Linked DNA regions of Notamacropus eugenii. The protein of the gene in region 1 interacts with the protein of each later gene in a pairwise test. Links are inferred from orthologs where the notes say so. Each region holds a gene or a part of one and is shown on either strand. Other genes may lie near its edges.

Region 1 (8,017 bases):
GCTCCCGCTACGACGCCCGGCTCGGAGTCAGCGACTGGGACTTGCATATGAAGCTGCATGACCGAGGGGTGAGAGCTTCTGGACTCCAGGGTCCTTGGGAGGTTTGTGGGAAGACGAGAACTACCATTCCCAGCAGGCAGCAGGGGAATGTCATTGGAAGGCCGCCTAAGCTTCCCCAGGAGCTTTCTGGGAAATGTAGTTTTAGGTGCCTTCGCATTGGGACATCTGGCAGTTTTAGCGTGGAGATTGAGAGGCTGGTCTCCTGGCTTCCCAAAGAGGCGGGGAGATCAAGGGGGTGGGGAGGATTCCTGAGTCCTTGAACCTCTCCTCCCTTCCTTTCTTTGCCTCTCAGGCCCGGGTCATCAACAGCCGAGAGTTTCGTCGCTGGAGGGAAACCAGTGTGGCCTTTGAGATTCGGGATACTTCGGCCTATCAACTCCCAAACCGAACCCTGGCATCTGGGCGCCTGATGAGTCATGTGCGTACTCTAGGCCCGCTTCCCATCTCCAGCCCTGGGCGACCCAGACTTCATTCCCAAATTCTCATCCCAAGGCGTCCCAGTCGCCCCTGTCCCCTCCAGCCCTTGGTGACCCAGGAGTCTTGAGCCTCACCCACCATCTCAGGAGATCTGAAAGTTCTGGTCTCCACTCACTGTCTCAGGGGTCCGAGGGAGTTCTGGTCCTCCCTCCCAGTCCTTTATTTCAGGGGAGCTGGGCCTCCAGTTTTCCAGCTCTTTGTCCTCAGGGTCTCAGTAGTTCACGTTCCAAGCTTCTGACATCAGAAGAAACAATGCTCCTACCTCAGTCTCCTTGTGGATCCAGACATCCAAAAGTTGAGCAATATCTCTCCTCCAACCTCAGCGTGGGGAGCGTGTGGCTGTGCGAGGCTACTGGGGGGACGTGGCTACCGGACCTTTCGTGGCCTTTGGCATCGAGTCCGATGATCAGAGTGTCCTGCAAACCCGAAATGGAATCCCTGTTAAGGTGCCCACCCGGGCCCCACCTCCAGGGCTTCTCCCCCTTTTTTTTGTCGGTCCTCTGGGCAGACCTACGGGCCTTCTTCTTTAGAGAGGGTGGTCCGGCTCTCTGGCTCTTGCTTTGTCTCTTCTTCTCTTCTCTTGTGTCCCTGTCTTTCCCTCTCTGAGTGGTTCTTTCTCATAGGCTCAGAATCTCTGGTTCCATCCCCCTCTGCGTCTTTGTCCCTCCCCCTGTCAGTGACTCCGAGTCTCTGGCTTTCCCTCTCTAGTTTTGTCTTTGTGATTCTCTCTCGGGATCAGGGTCTATATCTCTTCATCTTCCATCGGAAGACTTCGGCCTCTTCCCCATCTACATCTCCTCTCCGAGTCTTCAGCTTCTCTGGTTGCCCCAACCCCTAGTAGCTCCACTCCAGGGCTCCGCCCATTTCTCTAGGCTCCTCCCACATTTTCTGCCCGTTGCTCCCACAGTGCGCTGGTGAGATCTCCTTGCACAATGTGACCTCGATGTTTCGAAGCCTAGTGACCCCCGGGGATGAGGTGTCTGAGGCCAAACCTGAGGCCAAGGCGGAGGGCGGGGCCCCAGACTCCGGTGAGAAGTGACAGGAGGCCCCCAAACTTTCCTCCTTCCGAGTACCAGAGATTCCTTTTAGTCTCCTTCCTTTTCCTCTTTAGGGCTCTTAGAAGCCATCTGGATTCCCAGAGGGGAAACTGAGGCCAAGAGGAGGGATAGGATACGTGGAGGGTCAGGGGCAAGACCTGGACTAGGGGGAGGGAAGATCAGAGTCCTGATTAGGGGTTTTCCCGAGTCTTTCTCATCCCAGATTGGAGGATGGGGAGGGCCTTGTGAGTCTGTATGCGTGTTCATGGTGTGTACATATGTGTAACGGGACAGGGCAGGACAAGTTGTGGGAAGGTTCAAAGAAAAGGGAGGTGTACTGTCCCGGCACCATCCTCTTCTTCCTCTACTTTCTCCTCCTCCCCCTTCTTCCTGGCACTGAGTGCCTGTCATTCTCTTCTGGTCTCCTTCGGGTTCAGAACCTGCTGGTTCCAGACCTTTCCGGGTCCACTTCCTGCCCCTGGGGGCTGCCCCGACGTTGCACCAGCGAAATCGCTTCCACAGCCGCTTCCACCTTCTCTACGTGTCCTGCGGGTAACTGAGGGCTGGTTCCCCACTCCCCTAGCCCATGCGGCCTTAGGGATCCTGTAGTCAGTCTTAAGGCCCTAAGCCCTTTCTCTTTCTCTTCCTTCGGGGACTCAGGCATCCAGAACTGCCAACCCCATTCCCCTTTCCCTTCCAGAACTCCAGCAGTCTTGATCCCCTAAACCTCACTCCAGTAAACCGAGTGCTGATCTCCAATCCTCTCCTCCCTCGGACCCAGGTGTCCTGATTCTTCCAGCCCTCTCCTCCTCTTTCAGATATTCAGGTGTTCTGAGCCCCCTAATTTTCTGTTCAGGGACTTAGGTGTCCTGATTACTTACCCCCTTCTCTATGGAGCATTACGATATCCCGATTCCCAATCCCTCCTCTCTCAGAGACCCAGGAACACAGATTCCCAGCTCTCTTCTCTAGGAACCAGGGGTGGGGAGGACAGACAGACATCCTGATTGTTCCAGTCCCTCCTCCTTCAGGGACATAGAAGCACTGATCCCCTTGCCCTCTCCTCCCTCGGGGACCCAGGATCACTGATCACCCCTATCCTCTCTTCCCTCGGGGAACCTGGGAGCACTTTCTCCAGCCCTCTTCTCCCAGGGGTTGAGGACCCAGGCGTCCTGATTCGTCCTTTTCCATCTTTCTGAAGGATGGTCCACCAGCTGAGCCCGGAGCTTGGGGCCTGCGTGGCTCCTGGGGGACGCCTGATAGTGGAATTGGCCAGGTGGGCGCTGTCCTCATGCCCAGGGTGCTGAGTTGGGGGGGGGGGCGGTCTGGGTGTCCTGGATCCTGGTTCCCTGACTGTCTCCCATCTATCCTCAGGTACCTTGTGGACTTGCGGTCTAACCAGCTAGAGAGTTTCTCTGAACGGGTCCGGGAGCTGGCTGAGGCTGCTGGTTTCCTACCAGAGTCCCACGAGGATCTCCCCGAAACCTTTGCCCGCTTCTCTCGCAAGCCTCCACCAGGCCAGGATGATCCGCCTCCCCAGGGTGCCCGGGATGCAAGGCAGAACGCCGAAGCCCCGCCCCTTGATAACTTAACTCCTCCCTCAGAGATTTTGACTTTGCCTCCTAAGGCCTCTGAACCTATGTCCTCAGAAATTCTGAGCCCGTCCTCAAATGAGGATGCTCCTGTGCCCACCTCGCCTCCTAGAGGCGCTGAGCCTATCCTTTCTGAAATTCTGAGCCCGTCCTCAAGTGCAGATGTTCCTGGAGCTCTGACTCTGCCCCCCGAGGATTCGGAGCACGCTCCCTATGGCATTCTTGGACCAACCATTAGCCCTGATGTAGCTGAAATGTCGAGTCCGCACCTTGACCCCATGACTCCGCCCTCCGAGAGTCTGAGCTGGCGTACGGATGCTGAGCTAGGCCCTCCTGGAATTCTGACTCCGCCCCCTGGGGATTCCGACTCCGCCCTCTCTGACTTTCTGAGCCCTGCCCCGAATCCTGATGATTCTGGAATGCCCGCTGGGGAGCCAGGTCACCCCTCTTAAGATTCTGACTCCACCTTCTCATTTCCGAGCCCCTCCCCTAACAATTCTGGGTTTGGCTCCAAGTCCTGAGGCTCACGGGATCTTGACTTCATCGCCCAATTCTGACTGAGAGTCCTTGGTCCCCAAATTCTCCCTTGCCCGTTCCCCACACTGTCCACGACTATCTTGGCCCCAGGATTTTGATTCCGCTCCCCTGGCATTCTGAGACTCATAGGATTTTGACCTCTTAGAGTCCCTTGTCCTTCCCAGGGAGTCAGGACTTGTTAGAATAAAGAGATTTGGACCCTACAATCAGTCTGTGGTCTGGGAGGGAGTGTGGCACATCGCCATCGCCTTAAGGAAGGAGGATAGGTCTCAGGACTCCTGGATCCCTAAGAAAAATGGGTCTGGGGCTCACTCCGTCTGGGTCCCTGAGAGAAAAATGGGCTATATAACTAGCATGCTGACTGAATAGGGTTCCAAAGACTGAATAGGTTGGGGCTCAAGGTTCCTTGGTCCAGGAGAGAGGAGGGGCTGGAAAATCAAGACCCTTGCGCCCCCAAGCTAGAAGGGACTGGGGACTGGGAAATCTAGGCCCCGAAGAGGAAGGCTCTAAGGAATGAGAATCCCTGGGTGCCAGAGACGAGCTAAGATAGGCCTCAAGGTTCGTTAGGGAGGAGGAAACAGGACGAGAATGTTCTGAGTCGCCAAAAGAGAGGGGTCCCATGATGAGGACCTCTGATTCCCTGAGGAAGGAGGGGCTGACGTATCAGGATTCTTGGCTTCGTATGGAGGTGGGACCTGAGAGAGGGAGCATCTCCCTCCCTCTCCGCGCCCCCTTATCTCCCCAGCCGAGAGTATATTTAGCCTCAGGCTCAGCTTTTATCCCAGTGTCCCCAGAGGAGCCAGAGGAGATTAGAGGCTAACGGACCCCAGCCCCCCCAAGGTCATCCCGGATACTCGTCCAGTGCCCTTACATCATGGCGGAGGAGTGAGTGTGGTCTCGGTGGCATGGACGCTTGGGTCCCTGGAGGGGCGGGTATCAAGACCAAGGTCTCTGTGTGGGAATAAATTTGTACTGATTTGTCCTAGAACTGAGGGGGAGGGAGGAGGCAAGGGTGGATGCCCACCACCAGTGCAGTAACACCACCTCCCTTCTCTCTGCAGGAGCAGCGACACGGTAAGAGAAGGGAGAGAAGGGAAGGGGGCCTCGGAGCTGGGGAACAGGGACTCCTGGATCCCTGAAGAGGGAGCAGGATGGGACGAGGACACCGGGGTCCTCGAGGATGTGGGGTGGAGGCTTGGAGGCCTGGGCTTCCCCTGGGCGGAGGGTGGGGCCCTGAGGTTTCTAGAAGAGACCACTCTTTGGGTGTAGGGCCTCGGAGCCCAGCTAACCCGGGTCTCCTTCAGTTCCCGGCTGAGTTGCCACCTGCACCCACCCCAGCGGCACCCCCAGTTCGACGCCGCTCTTCTGTCAATTACCGAGCCTATGCCACCGAGCCCCATGCCAAGGTGAGAATCCGGGACCTGAGTGCGGGGATGAGCTTTGGTGGTGGTGGTGGTCGGGGGGATGACCTAGGCCCTTCGGGGGCCCCTTGAAGTCCGCCCTCCCCGGGCCAGTGCTGTCGGGGCAATGGAACACCGCCGCTGGGTTTCTGGCCCCTACCCCAGAACGCTAGCCTCACCCTGTAGGCTTATGGCCCCGCCCCCAGAGCAATAGCCCCACCCTTTGGGTTTCTGGCCCGGTCCCTAATTCTAACTGCATCCCGGGGATTCTGTTTTTCCCTCTTCCCTCCCCACCCCTGAATTCCAGCCCCCCAAATTTCGGTTCCTCTCCTTCCACATTCTGACCCCAGTATTTCCCTCCCGCAGAAAAAGTCCAAGATCTCGGCTTCTCGGAAGCTGCAGCTGAAGGTGAGGAACTGGGCCTGAGAGGGAGCGGTCCGTCAGTCACTCAAGCAACGCGTGGGAAGTGCCCTGAGCGGGAGAGCTGGGCCAGGGCAGTGGCTTCACTCGCCTCCAGCCTGGCTCTCCTTCCTTCCCAGACCCTGATGCTGCAGATCGCCAAGCAGGAGTTGGAGCGTGAGGGGGACGATCGGAGTGGGGAGAAGGGCCGCGTGCTCGGGGAGCGCTGTGCTCCTGTGCAGTTGGCCGGCCTCGGGGTGGCCGAGCTGCAGGTATTAGGACACGCGGGGCTCCTAGCTCCCCTCCTCGCCTCTGTTAGGGACCCAGGAGTCCTGTCCCCCAAAACCTTCCTTAGAGATCCTGGTGTCCATCTCAATCCTATCCCCCCCTCCCAGGGTGCCTGGCATTAGGCCTCCAGTAGATACACTGTAGGGAAACAGGCATCCTTCCCTCTTCCCTCAGGAGCTGTGTCGGGAGCTTCATGCCAGAGTGGACAAGGTGGATGAAGAGAGATATGATTTGGAGGCAAAAGTTACAAAGAATGTCACTGAGGTAGGGAACAAAGGGGGCAGGCTGATCACCTGTGAGCACCTGGCCTGGGGTCAGGGGCTGGAGACTCAGCCAAAAGAGGGCACCTAGAGGACTTGGGGTCCATGTCCCTGGGGTTACAGAGGAAGGCAAGAGACCCACCTCTCTTAGTGAGACCAACCCCTGCTCCTTAGTCACTCAGAACCAGGAATCTGTTTGATGTCCTAGAGGGTCAAAGTGAAAGGCATGCTTAAAGATCCCTCTTTCTGAGTCCCAGTGAGGGAAGTGACCTGCCCATGGAGACTGGAGACCAGACGTATCCAGATCTCTAGCCTACTAGCCCTGGTTTCTTTCTAGCCCCCCAACTCCATACCAAGCAAAGCCAATCCCCTGAAGAAGGACTTCTAGGGGTCAACCTGGGAACCTTCCTCCTGCCTTCTCATCACCAGCCTCCACAGGGGAGAAGACCTAAGAGTGAGGGGCCCCTGAGCCTTGCATCTCCTGCTGGGCACAGAACACCCCTGAAGGGAGGTAGCAAGGGGCATGAGCAGGGCCAGGAATATGCCATTTCCTGCTCCAGCTCAGTTTCCCAACAAAGAGAAGCAACCCTCCCCTCTGTTCCAGGCTTCCCATCTCTTGCTGTGCCTATCCTTCGAGGGTGAAGTGGTGCTCTCCATTTAGTGATGGCCATTCTCACACCTGGTCATGCCCTTCACATCCCAGTGACTCTCAGCTCCTGAGATCATGACCCAAATCTTCTCCCTGCCCCCAACCTGATTTCCCCATGCCTATCTCCCCACCCCAATGTTCCAACCTAATCCCACCTGGCCCTTCCACTGTGCCCTCTGGGAGGCATGTTCCATAGGCAACAACCCTCACTTCATCTTGAATCTATTTCTCTCCCACTCCATCCATCTGCTCTTATTGCAACTTGGCTTCCCCTGAAGACACAGCCTCCTTGGCAGTCATTCATTCTCCTAGGCTCACTGGTCGGGGTTCCCCATTGCTGCTTCCAGGTTCTTCCCCTTCCTCCATCACTCAGTAACCTTTCCTCCTCTGAGGTTCATGATATTCACATCTCTCACCTAATCAAAATCCTGGTAGCCGTTGTCTCCCTTTCTTAATGCGTTTGGTACCTGACAACATTTTTCTTCTCCCCAACTCCTGCCCTCATCCTAGGGGATGTAAACATACATCAAACACCCTGACCACTCAGTTCCCTCAACCTACTCACTTCCCAGAAGCTATTCTGCCACCCCACCTCAGCCAGGCACAAACATATGCCTCCACAGTCAAGATTCCAGAAATCCCCTTATCTGACCATAATCTATTGGGTTTTCACCTCTTCCTCTGCCTCCCTTTATATAACTCTGCTCTTCCTCCTCCCTGTGACCTCCACCCCTTGACCCCTAGGTCTTCTCCCAGGCCATCTTCCCTCCCCAGGCCCTCTATCTCTTCTCCCCATTTTAATTCCTTGGTGAGCCAATTCAACACTGTCCTCTTCTCTTAACTGTTAGTCCCCTTATCATTTTGCTATTGTGCCCAAGATTCAATCTTGGATCACTCCCACCATTCACTCCTACATACCCTGCTGATGAGGGTGGAGAGAATCATGTAACTCTTCTGACTAGACCCCCTACAAACTTGACTGGGCCCTCCCTGCTGCCAGGCAATCCTACCATACCTCCCTTATTAACTTACTCTTCCTTTCTGCACAACAGCTCTTCAAAATCTTCTCATCCCTCCTCAAACCTCCCATGGCTCCCCTTGCTCCTGCTCTCTCATCTGAGACCCTGCCTATTTTACTGAAAAAAATGGTGGCCATTCACCATGAGCTCCCTCTTCTCCCCTCTTCCCCATCTCCTATCACTCAGGTGCCTTCTGCCCCTCTCTCCTCCTTCCCCTGCCTCACATGAAGAGCTGGCCTTACTCCTGATCAAGGCTGACCCCTCTACCTATTCAGGTGATCCCATTCCATCCCATCTCC
Region 2 (7,889 bases), on another chromosome or scaffold:
ACTCGATCTCTTCATCTGTCACATGCTCTCCTGAAGCCCTGAAGATCTCCACTAGCTCCTCAGCATCAATATAGCCATCAGCATTCCTTAGGAGGGAGGAGAAGGAAAGGGGAAGAGACCAAATGTTCTTCAGAAAGCTCCTCAAGAGACTGTGATGTGCACGTTGCAATGAACCAGATTCCAGTGCTGAAAGGGTCCTTAAAGATCCTTTGGTTCACATCCTCCAAGGTCTGGGACCCAGGGCTACTCAGCCCCCTCTTCCTACTTCAGCCCAGCCAGCCTTACTTTACTTCTTCTCCAGCCCTTTCTTCTCCCCACCCCCCCTCGCCCCTTCCTCACACATACCTTCCCCAGTCCACTCGGGCTGAGTCTGAACTCTAAGCCGCCTGGTATGGCACATCTCCACTCCCCTCCCTTCACTAACACCTTCCCAGGGAAACATGGCCCCAGTGGGCACCAGGCCTAACCTGTCAAAGATACGGAAACACTCAGCCAGCTCCTCCTCAGTCTTTCCTTTCGCGTCCTCCTTCATCTGTCTCACCATCATGACCAAGAACTCTTCAAAGTCGATGGTACCACTGCCTGCGATTGAGAGAGTGAGTGTCAGAGGCCCTGCCCAAATGCAGTCACCTGCTCTTCACACCTCCTGGGAGATGCCCGCTCACCATCTTCATCCACCTCCTCTATGATGGCATCCAGCTCCTCTTTGGTGGGTGTCTGGCCTAGCATCCGCATCACTGTGCCCAATTCCTTGGTGCTGATGTCTCCACCACCATCAGCATCAAACATGTCGAAGGCAGCTTTGAACTCTGAGAGGGAAGATGGTGGAGCAATAACAAAAGAATCTGTTAACCTGGAGGACTGGCACAGCCATAAGTCCCACTCCCAGCCAAGTGTCCACCTCTCAAAATACACACTCACCAGCAATCATTTCCTCGCTGAGGAAGGACCGGGCTTCCGCCTGCTGGTCCGTCTGCAAGATACAAGAGAAGTCAGGTACCAGGTCCCAGGGAAGAAGAAAGGTAAAGGGGAACTCCCAGGGTTAGGCTTGGGAAAGTTAAGAGATCCCTGCTGAACCTGTATTTACATCCCTAACTTACTACTCATGTAACCTAAAGTAGGTCATTCACATTTCCGGGTCCTTATTTTCCTATCAGTAAAATGAGGAGATTGGGCTAGATAGTCTCTAAGGTTCCTTCTAGATCTGAACTCTGACCCTATGAGTTTCTGAGCCCCCAAATCACCATCTGGTGACCAATCTTTTGATGACAAATTTCTTCTTACTTAGGAGTTAGACCTAGTCCTTGGACATCAGATAGTCTCTACTCAAAGTCTTCTGGGTTTGGTAGCATCTGCCCAAAGTCATAGGTAAGTATATGGAAGAGCTAGAATTTGAACCCTAGAATTTGACTTCAGTACAACATCCATTACCCCATACTAGCTTTATGGAGTATAAAGGGGTAACATGCTTAACCTCAATGAACCTCAGACAATTCTTTGCTGAATGAGGGTAATTGCATGTCCTACGCTGTGAGCTGGTGTAATCTACTGGAAAAAATCTCAGGTTAGGAGTCTGCAGACCTGAGGGCAAGTTCCAGCACAGCCTCAGTTTCTCCATCAATAAAAATTAAGGGTATGGAGGAGGTGATCTCCAAAGCCCCTTCCAACTCCAGGAATGAATGGATTTATTCCTATTATTTGATAAAGGAATTTGAGGCCTAAATCCAGAATCTCCACAGGTTTGAGCATGAGGGATCATAGGACCCCTCCCCCTGCCATGTCCCACCCAGGCCTTGGCTATTCTTAGGCTGAGGCTGTAGGAACAGCTGGGCCCAGGCTCCAATTACTCCTCAAAGAAGGACTAGGAGGACAAGGAGGGGAGGGGCTGGGGGGGTTAGGGGCTGGGGGTGGAGTATTGAAGACTAAAGAATGCCTCCTCCCTCAAAGGCCTGTAGAATTTAGAGCTGAACTTAGAATTTAGAGCTTAAAGACCAACTAAGCCCAATACCTGAGTCCCCCATTTTGTAGATTAGGAGGAAACTGACATACAACAGGAACAAGAAGTGATGAAATTTGATCCCAGTTCCCTTCATCTAAGTCTGGTATCCTTCACTCTTTACCACAAGCTATGCCCTTTCATGCCCCAGAGCCCCTGCCCAAGGGCCAGGGGAGCCCCTCTGTCTCTGACTCCTTCTTCTTTTTCCTTGGCACATCCCTACCCTCAATACTCAGTTGTAAAATGACCCTAAGTCTTTGGGATTCCTTGAACAAAAATAGTAAAAGCTAGAGGGAGGCAATTGGGCCAGAGAGATCACATGCTGGCTGGTGCCCCAAAAGGCAGAAGAAGGCAGATGCTCTGAGTCCTAAATCCCCAGGAGCTTCTCTTCTCTGTGGTCAAAGGAGACCAAGATGACACTAGCCTCTCATTCCAAGAAAACTTCCAGAGAAAGAATCATGAGTTTAGAAAGGGAAAGGAACTGAGAGTCCTATGGTCCAATGCTCCCATTTTACAGGTGAGAAAACTGAAGCCCAGAGAGACTCCATTACTTGACCAAGATTGTTCACATTGTAAATACCAAAGCTGGCAGTTGAACCTATGTCCCTCAGTTCCAATTCCCACACTATACTGCTTCTCTATTGGGAAGGGTAAGTGAGAGTTGCGGACACTTTGGGGAAATTGCTTTTTGTCTCTGGATGGCTGTATTCCTTACAACTTCACTAATACATAGGACTAAGAACTAGAAAGCGCCTTAAAAAGACAGTCTTCTCATTTTGCAGTTGAAGAAAGAGGTTAAATGACTTGGGTTGAAGGAGAGGTGACAGCTGGGGTTGGGGGGTGGGTGGGAGGGAAGGCATAGTAAGTTGATGGCTGAGTTAAAATTTGTGCCCATATTCTAAATCTGTGTTCTCCTCTACCCCATATTGCCTTTCATCTGAGTCAGTGGCCTCTGGTCACCTAGGCTTCCTAGCTTCTTTTGGGGACATGTTTTCCCAAGGTCCAGGGAGAGGGAGATGAAGCTCAGTTCTCCTCTCAGAATTTCTGGGAGAGGGTAAAGATCTGAGGATGAGGGAATGGGGAAGGGAAGCCACTTACCATGGTGACTGCTCACGAGATCCCCTGCTGCAATCAGTTCCAACTCCTCTGTACTCCACACCCAAAGGCTCCCTACCACCCCAGTCCCCAATATTTGTAGGGGCTCTTGCTTTTCCTCCCTCCCCCACTCCCTGGGATTGGACATCCGTGTACCTCAGCCTTCCCCAATCCAATTAGGTCCCAGAGCTCAGCTGCACCTGCCCCTCCCCAAATCTGAGCCCATTACCTAATTTAGCCAAGGCGCCCTGGGTAAACTTAAACCTTCAAGCAGGTGCCTGCCTTGATGTTCCAAGACCCTTATGGAGAGGCCCCACCCTCTTCTCAGGGAGCCTTTACGCTGGACAGTGGACCCCTTAACCTGTCCCAAGCTGAGCCATAACAAGCAGGGAGGAGGACTTGACTATGACTAGAGAGAGGAATAAGGCAATGACAAAAAAAAAAAAAAAACTTTGCCCTAGAAAGAGAAGATAAAGGACACAAGACACAAGGGATCCTTCTCTTTTGCCTGAATGGAAGCACATTGTTGGCTTCTCTGGACACTAGTGACATCTGGAAGTTTTTAGGAGGCATTTGGGGAGTGAGACTCTAAAATCATAGAATGGTAGAGACAAGAGGAATCTTCAGCACATCAGAATGGAAAGTACCGTAGAGAACAGAACAAAGAATGTGAGAACTGGCAGGGACTTTGAGATCATTTGGTCCAACCCTCTTCATTTTACAGTGGAGAAAATTGAAACCCTAAAAGGGGAGATCTTCTTTTCTCCCAGACCACACATGGTGCTAAGTGGGTATCAGAAGTCAGTCCTGCCCTAGCCTGAGAGCCCGAGAGCAGCCCTGACAATTTCCTGCTTATCCCCACACCAGCATAGGAGACTAGAAAATGGCATGCCTCCAGTATTGGGAGACATGTCCCCACCCACCCCTGATCCCCACCCAGGAATGGAACAGGACAGATGGAGAGAAGAATGAAGAGGGTCAAGAGAGCCCCAGAAAGCAGCTGAGCAGAGGGTATGGGGAGATAGGGGGAAGGGAGACAGGGGATTCAAATGCCAAGGAGAGGTCAGGATGGACAGCGGCAAATGGCACTGGCTTCTTCCCCTATATATAGACATTCTCAAGAAAAGCACGAGCAGTCAAGCCAGACTAAATAAGGCATCAGCCAGGCTGGAGCAGAGGGAAGGGACCTGGGTAAGTTCCTGTTTGGAACTATTTACACCTTGGGGAAGCCAAGACCCAGAAGGGATCTTTAGAATAAGCACAAGGGCAGGGGCAGTGGTCCTGAGGCACAAAGATGATCATCTCATTTTGTATTCTCACAACGTTGTCTGATTTAGGATGAGCTTCCCTCATAACAGTCATATGAAGCAGGTATATATTATGTATTTTATATATATATTATCCTCATTTTATAGATGGAGAAACAGACCCACAGATAGAAACAACTTGCCGGACATCCCACAGCAAGCTAGGACTAGATCCCAGGTCAGCTGACTCCAAGTCTTGTTGTTATAGTTCAGTTGCTTTCAGTCTTGTCTGAGTCTTCATGACTCCATTTGGGGTTTTCTTGGCAGACACTGGAGAGGTTTGCTATTTCTTTCACTAGTTCATTTACAGATGAGGAAACTGAGGCAAACAGGGTTAAAGTGACTTGCCCAGGGTCACAGCTAGTAAGTGTCTAAGGTCAGATCTGAACTCAAGAAGAGGAGTCTTCCTGACTCCAGGTCTGGTGCCTTACTCACTGTGCCATCTAGCTCCCCAAGGAGCTGGATTTCACATCCAGTCTTCATTTATTCATTCAGTAAGTATTTCTTGTATACTCAGCCCAGTATATGCTCAGCCCAGTATAACCCAGCTCAGCTTGCTATAGGGGATAAGAATGTGTAATCTTCATTAGGGAGCTCACAGCTCAGACTAAAAGAAAACCATACTGATGAGGATGATGATCATGATGATGAGGAAGAGGATGATGATAATGATGTATCATGATAAAGACTGACATTTTAGGAGTGTGAGCCCAAATAGCTCATATGCTACCTTCTTTTAGCCTACAGAATACATCTACATCTACATCTACACATATTATCTAGTGTGCAATGTATTTGGATTGTCCGCTAGGTGGTGCTTTCTCTGACTCAACAACCAAAGCTTCTCAGTAGTCTCTCTAGTGCAGATATAGGAGAGACTCATAAAAGTTTCAATTGCCCCACTGACCATAAGGAGTATTCAGACTACAAAAGCTTAGATTACTACCCCTCCCCTGAACTACTCTCCCTAGTGACATTGGTCAGGTTCACTATTGAGGATTTCTTAACCTTTTTTGTTTTTTTTAAATGGATGCCTTCCACAATATGGCAGAAGTTTATATAGTCTAGAATGTGTCTAGGAAAGGAGTAGGGAACCTGCTGCTTCAAAGTCACATGTGATCCTCTAGGTCCTCAAGTGTGGCCCTTTGATTGAATCCAAATTTTACAAATTGTTCTGTGACCTCTAAGCCACTAGTTCCCCACCCCTGGTGAAGCCCATAGATCCTTTCTAAGGATAATATTTTTAAATATACAAAATAATAACAGTTTGCATAGTGCCTTAAGGTTCATTTGATCCTCACAACAATCCTAGGAAGAAGGCTTTATTATTATCTCCATTTTATTGATGAGGAAACTAAAATAGACGGAGGTTAAGTGATTTGCCCAAGGTCACATAATCTGAGGTGACATTTGAACTCAGGTCTTCCTGACTCCAAGTCTGCAGCACTGAATTAGTTCCCCAACTACAAATTTCCATCGTAATGAAGTTTTATACATATATATAAAATTTCCATCGTAATGAAGTTTTATATATATATATATGTATATATATATATATATATATATATTTTAAGTCCTTTAACCCCAGGTTAAGAACCTCTGATCTAGGAGATAATGTGAAATATTGGTTTAAAAAAAACAACAACCTATTTTAAAAGACCAAGCCATCAATTGATCCCTCTTCTACCCCATACCTGAAGTCAGTCAATGCCCCCCACATTTGCTGGGCATAAACAATCAACATATAGTGGCCAGTCTATTAATTCATCATAGCAAAAATAAAAGGAAAATAAAAATAAAAGTAAAATTATTAAGAAGCCCCTGCTGAGCCCTCTGCCCAATTATCTCCTCACACTCCTTCTGACCACCCTCTCTACTTTGTAGCTAGGGGAATTTCAGAGCCAAACACCACAGCAAATTGTGAAGAGGGACTAAGGAAGTGTGTGTGTATCTAAAACTCTAGCTCTGGACCTTGAAGTATCAACCTCTGGATCTCAGAATATAAGAAAGGCAGGGAAAACATGAGGAAAGAGATGGGTTTTTCTTCCACCCCCCATCCCCCCAATCCACAAGGTTTTGTAACAGCTGATAGTTCCTGGTACTCTGGATGTCTTTCCACTCAGGTTCCTGTTTCTGTTCTCTTTCACAGCCCTGGCGTATGGTCCTGGTCCTAGCACCCCAAAAATGGACAGCAAATCCTTTTAAAGGTAAAATAAGAAAGAGGAGAAAAAACAATTCTGTATGCCAGATTTCAAATTTTGTGCCCCTCTTCCCATTGTTGGGCTTGTTCTAGATGGGAAAAAAAGCTCCTTTGAGGAGTAAGTTGGAAAATAAAGTTGAATTGATGAGAATGGATTAAGAAGCGCTTGAATTTGGCCATTGTAAGTTCTTGGATAGAAGAGAGGTGAATAATATAGCTGAACATTTTACATTTCAATAATGTTTTATGAGTTACAAGGGGTCTTAAAATCTATTAACTCTGATCCTCACAACACAGATGATATTATACCCATTCCATTGATGGTCTTTTCTTTTTTGCATCTATTCCAGCCCTGTGACAGAGCCTTCCCTTGTAACAAAGAAATATAGTTAAGTAACTAAACATCATTAAATAAAATGTTGGATATGTAGGAAAACGTATCTTTTATTTTACACCTCTATAACTCTCAGGTTAAGAAAAGCTTCATCATCAGTCCTCTGAAGTTCTGACAGGTCACTGCCTTAATCTCTGAAGTCCTTCTTTGCTTTACAAAAGTATATAAAAGGTTCTGCTGCTTCTTATGTCACTCAGTATCACTTTGTAACAAGTCTTCTGAAGTTTCTCTGAATTCTTCACATACATCATTTCTCCTGGTAGAGTAAAATTCCCTTACATTAGTATGCCCTTTTTATTCAGCCAAATATGTAAATATGTTTTGTACAACTTCACATGTATAATTGACATCATATTGTTTGCCTTCTCAAGGGGTAGGGAAAGAGTGCGTAGTGGGGAAAGAGTTTGGAACTCAGTTTTTTTGGATGACAAACTTTTTTTTTTAATTTGTAAAATACAACTCCCTAGATTTAAATGAAAAATTCTGCTCATTAGAAATGTTTTATATTCAGATATTCCAGGACACAAATGCAGGATCTATGTGGCAGCTTGCTGATACTTCAATAGATAAAGTTTCTTTCCAAAAATTTAAGGTTCCATGAATTTAATGTTCAGATAGTAATACTAATAATCTCCAGGGACAGATAACTCTACCTTATAAATAATTATGTTTTTGTCAGGAAGTCAAAAAATTTTTAAATGAATGTTTAATTGGGAAATATGTAATGGAATAAATAAAAATATATATTTAAAATATATTTATCCAGCCAGTCCCCAATCAATAGGTGCTTGATTGGTTTCTCATTCTTTGGTATCATAGAAAGTATTTCTGGCACTTTATGCCTGACTACTTAGTAAGTAATTAATATGTACTTAATAAGTATTTAATATGTTTTCG

What was found.
Region 2: the proteins of TNNI3 (region 1) and TNNC2 interact in binary tests that used the Homo sapiens proteins (3 or more experiments, as listed by UniProt). The two-hybrid records come from large-scale screens. The link is inferred for Notamacropus eugenii from reciprocal best matches to the Homo sapiens genes TNNI3 and TNNC2.

The regions. Positions count from the first base shown.
Region 1 is NC_092876.1:17,804,611-17,812,627, reverse strand, and holds the start of TNNI3 (troponin I, cardiac muscle), read left to right. Parts: upstream 1-4,593; 5' UTR 4,594-4,608; coding exon 4,609-4,650; intron 4,651-4,764; coding exon 4,765-4,777; intron 4,778-4,972; coding exon 4,973-5,109; intron 5,110-5,469; coding exon 5,470-5,511; intron 5,512-5,642; coding exon 5,643-5,774; intron 5,775-5,964; coding exon 5,965-6,054; intron 6,055-8,017. Other genes in the region: DNAAF3 (dynein axonemal assembly factor 3), read left to right, coding at 1-68, 353-478, 861-983, 1,445-1,565, 2,012-2,126, 2,776-2,850, 2,949-3,618. UniProt on the Homo sapiens protein: Troponin I is the inhibitory subunit of troponin, the thin filament regulatory complex which confers calcium-sensitivity to striated muscle actomyosin ATPase activity.
Region 2 is NC_092872.1:475,404,748-475,412,636, forward strand, and holds the start of TNNC2 (troponin C, skeletal muscle), read right to left. Parts: upstream 3,323-7,889; 5' UTR 3,098-3,322; coding exon 3,095-3,097; intron 974-3,094; coding exon 922-973; intron 810-921; coding exon 666-809; intron 583-665; coding exon 468-582; intron 87-467; coding exon 1-86. UniProt on the Homo sapiens protein: Troponin is the central regulatory protein of striated muscle contraction. Tn consists of three components: Tn-I which is the inhibitor of actomyosin ATPase, Tn-T which contains the binding site for tropomyosin and Tn-C.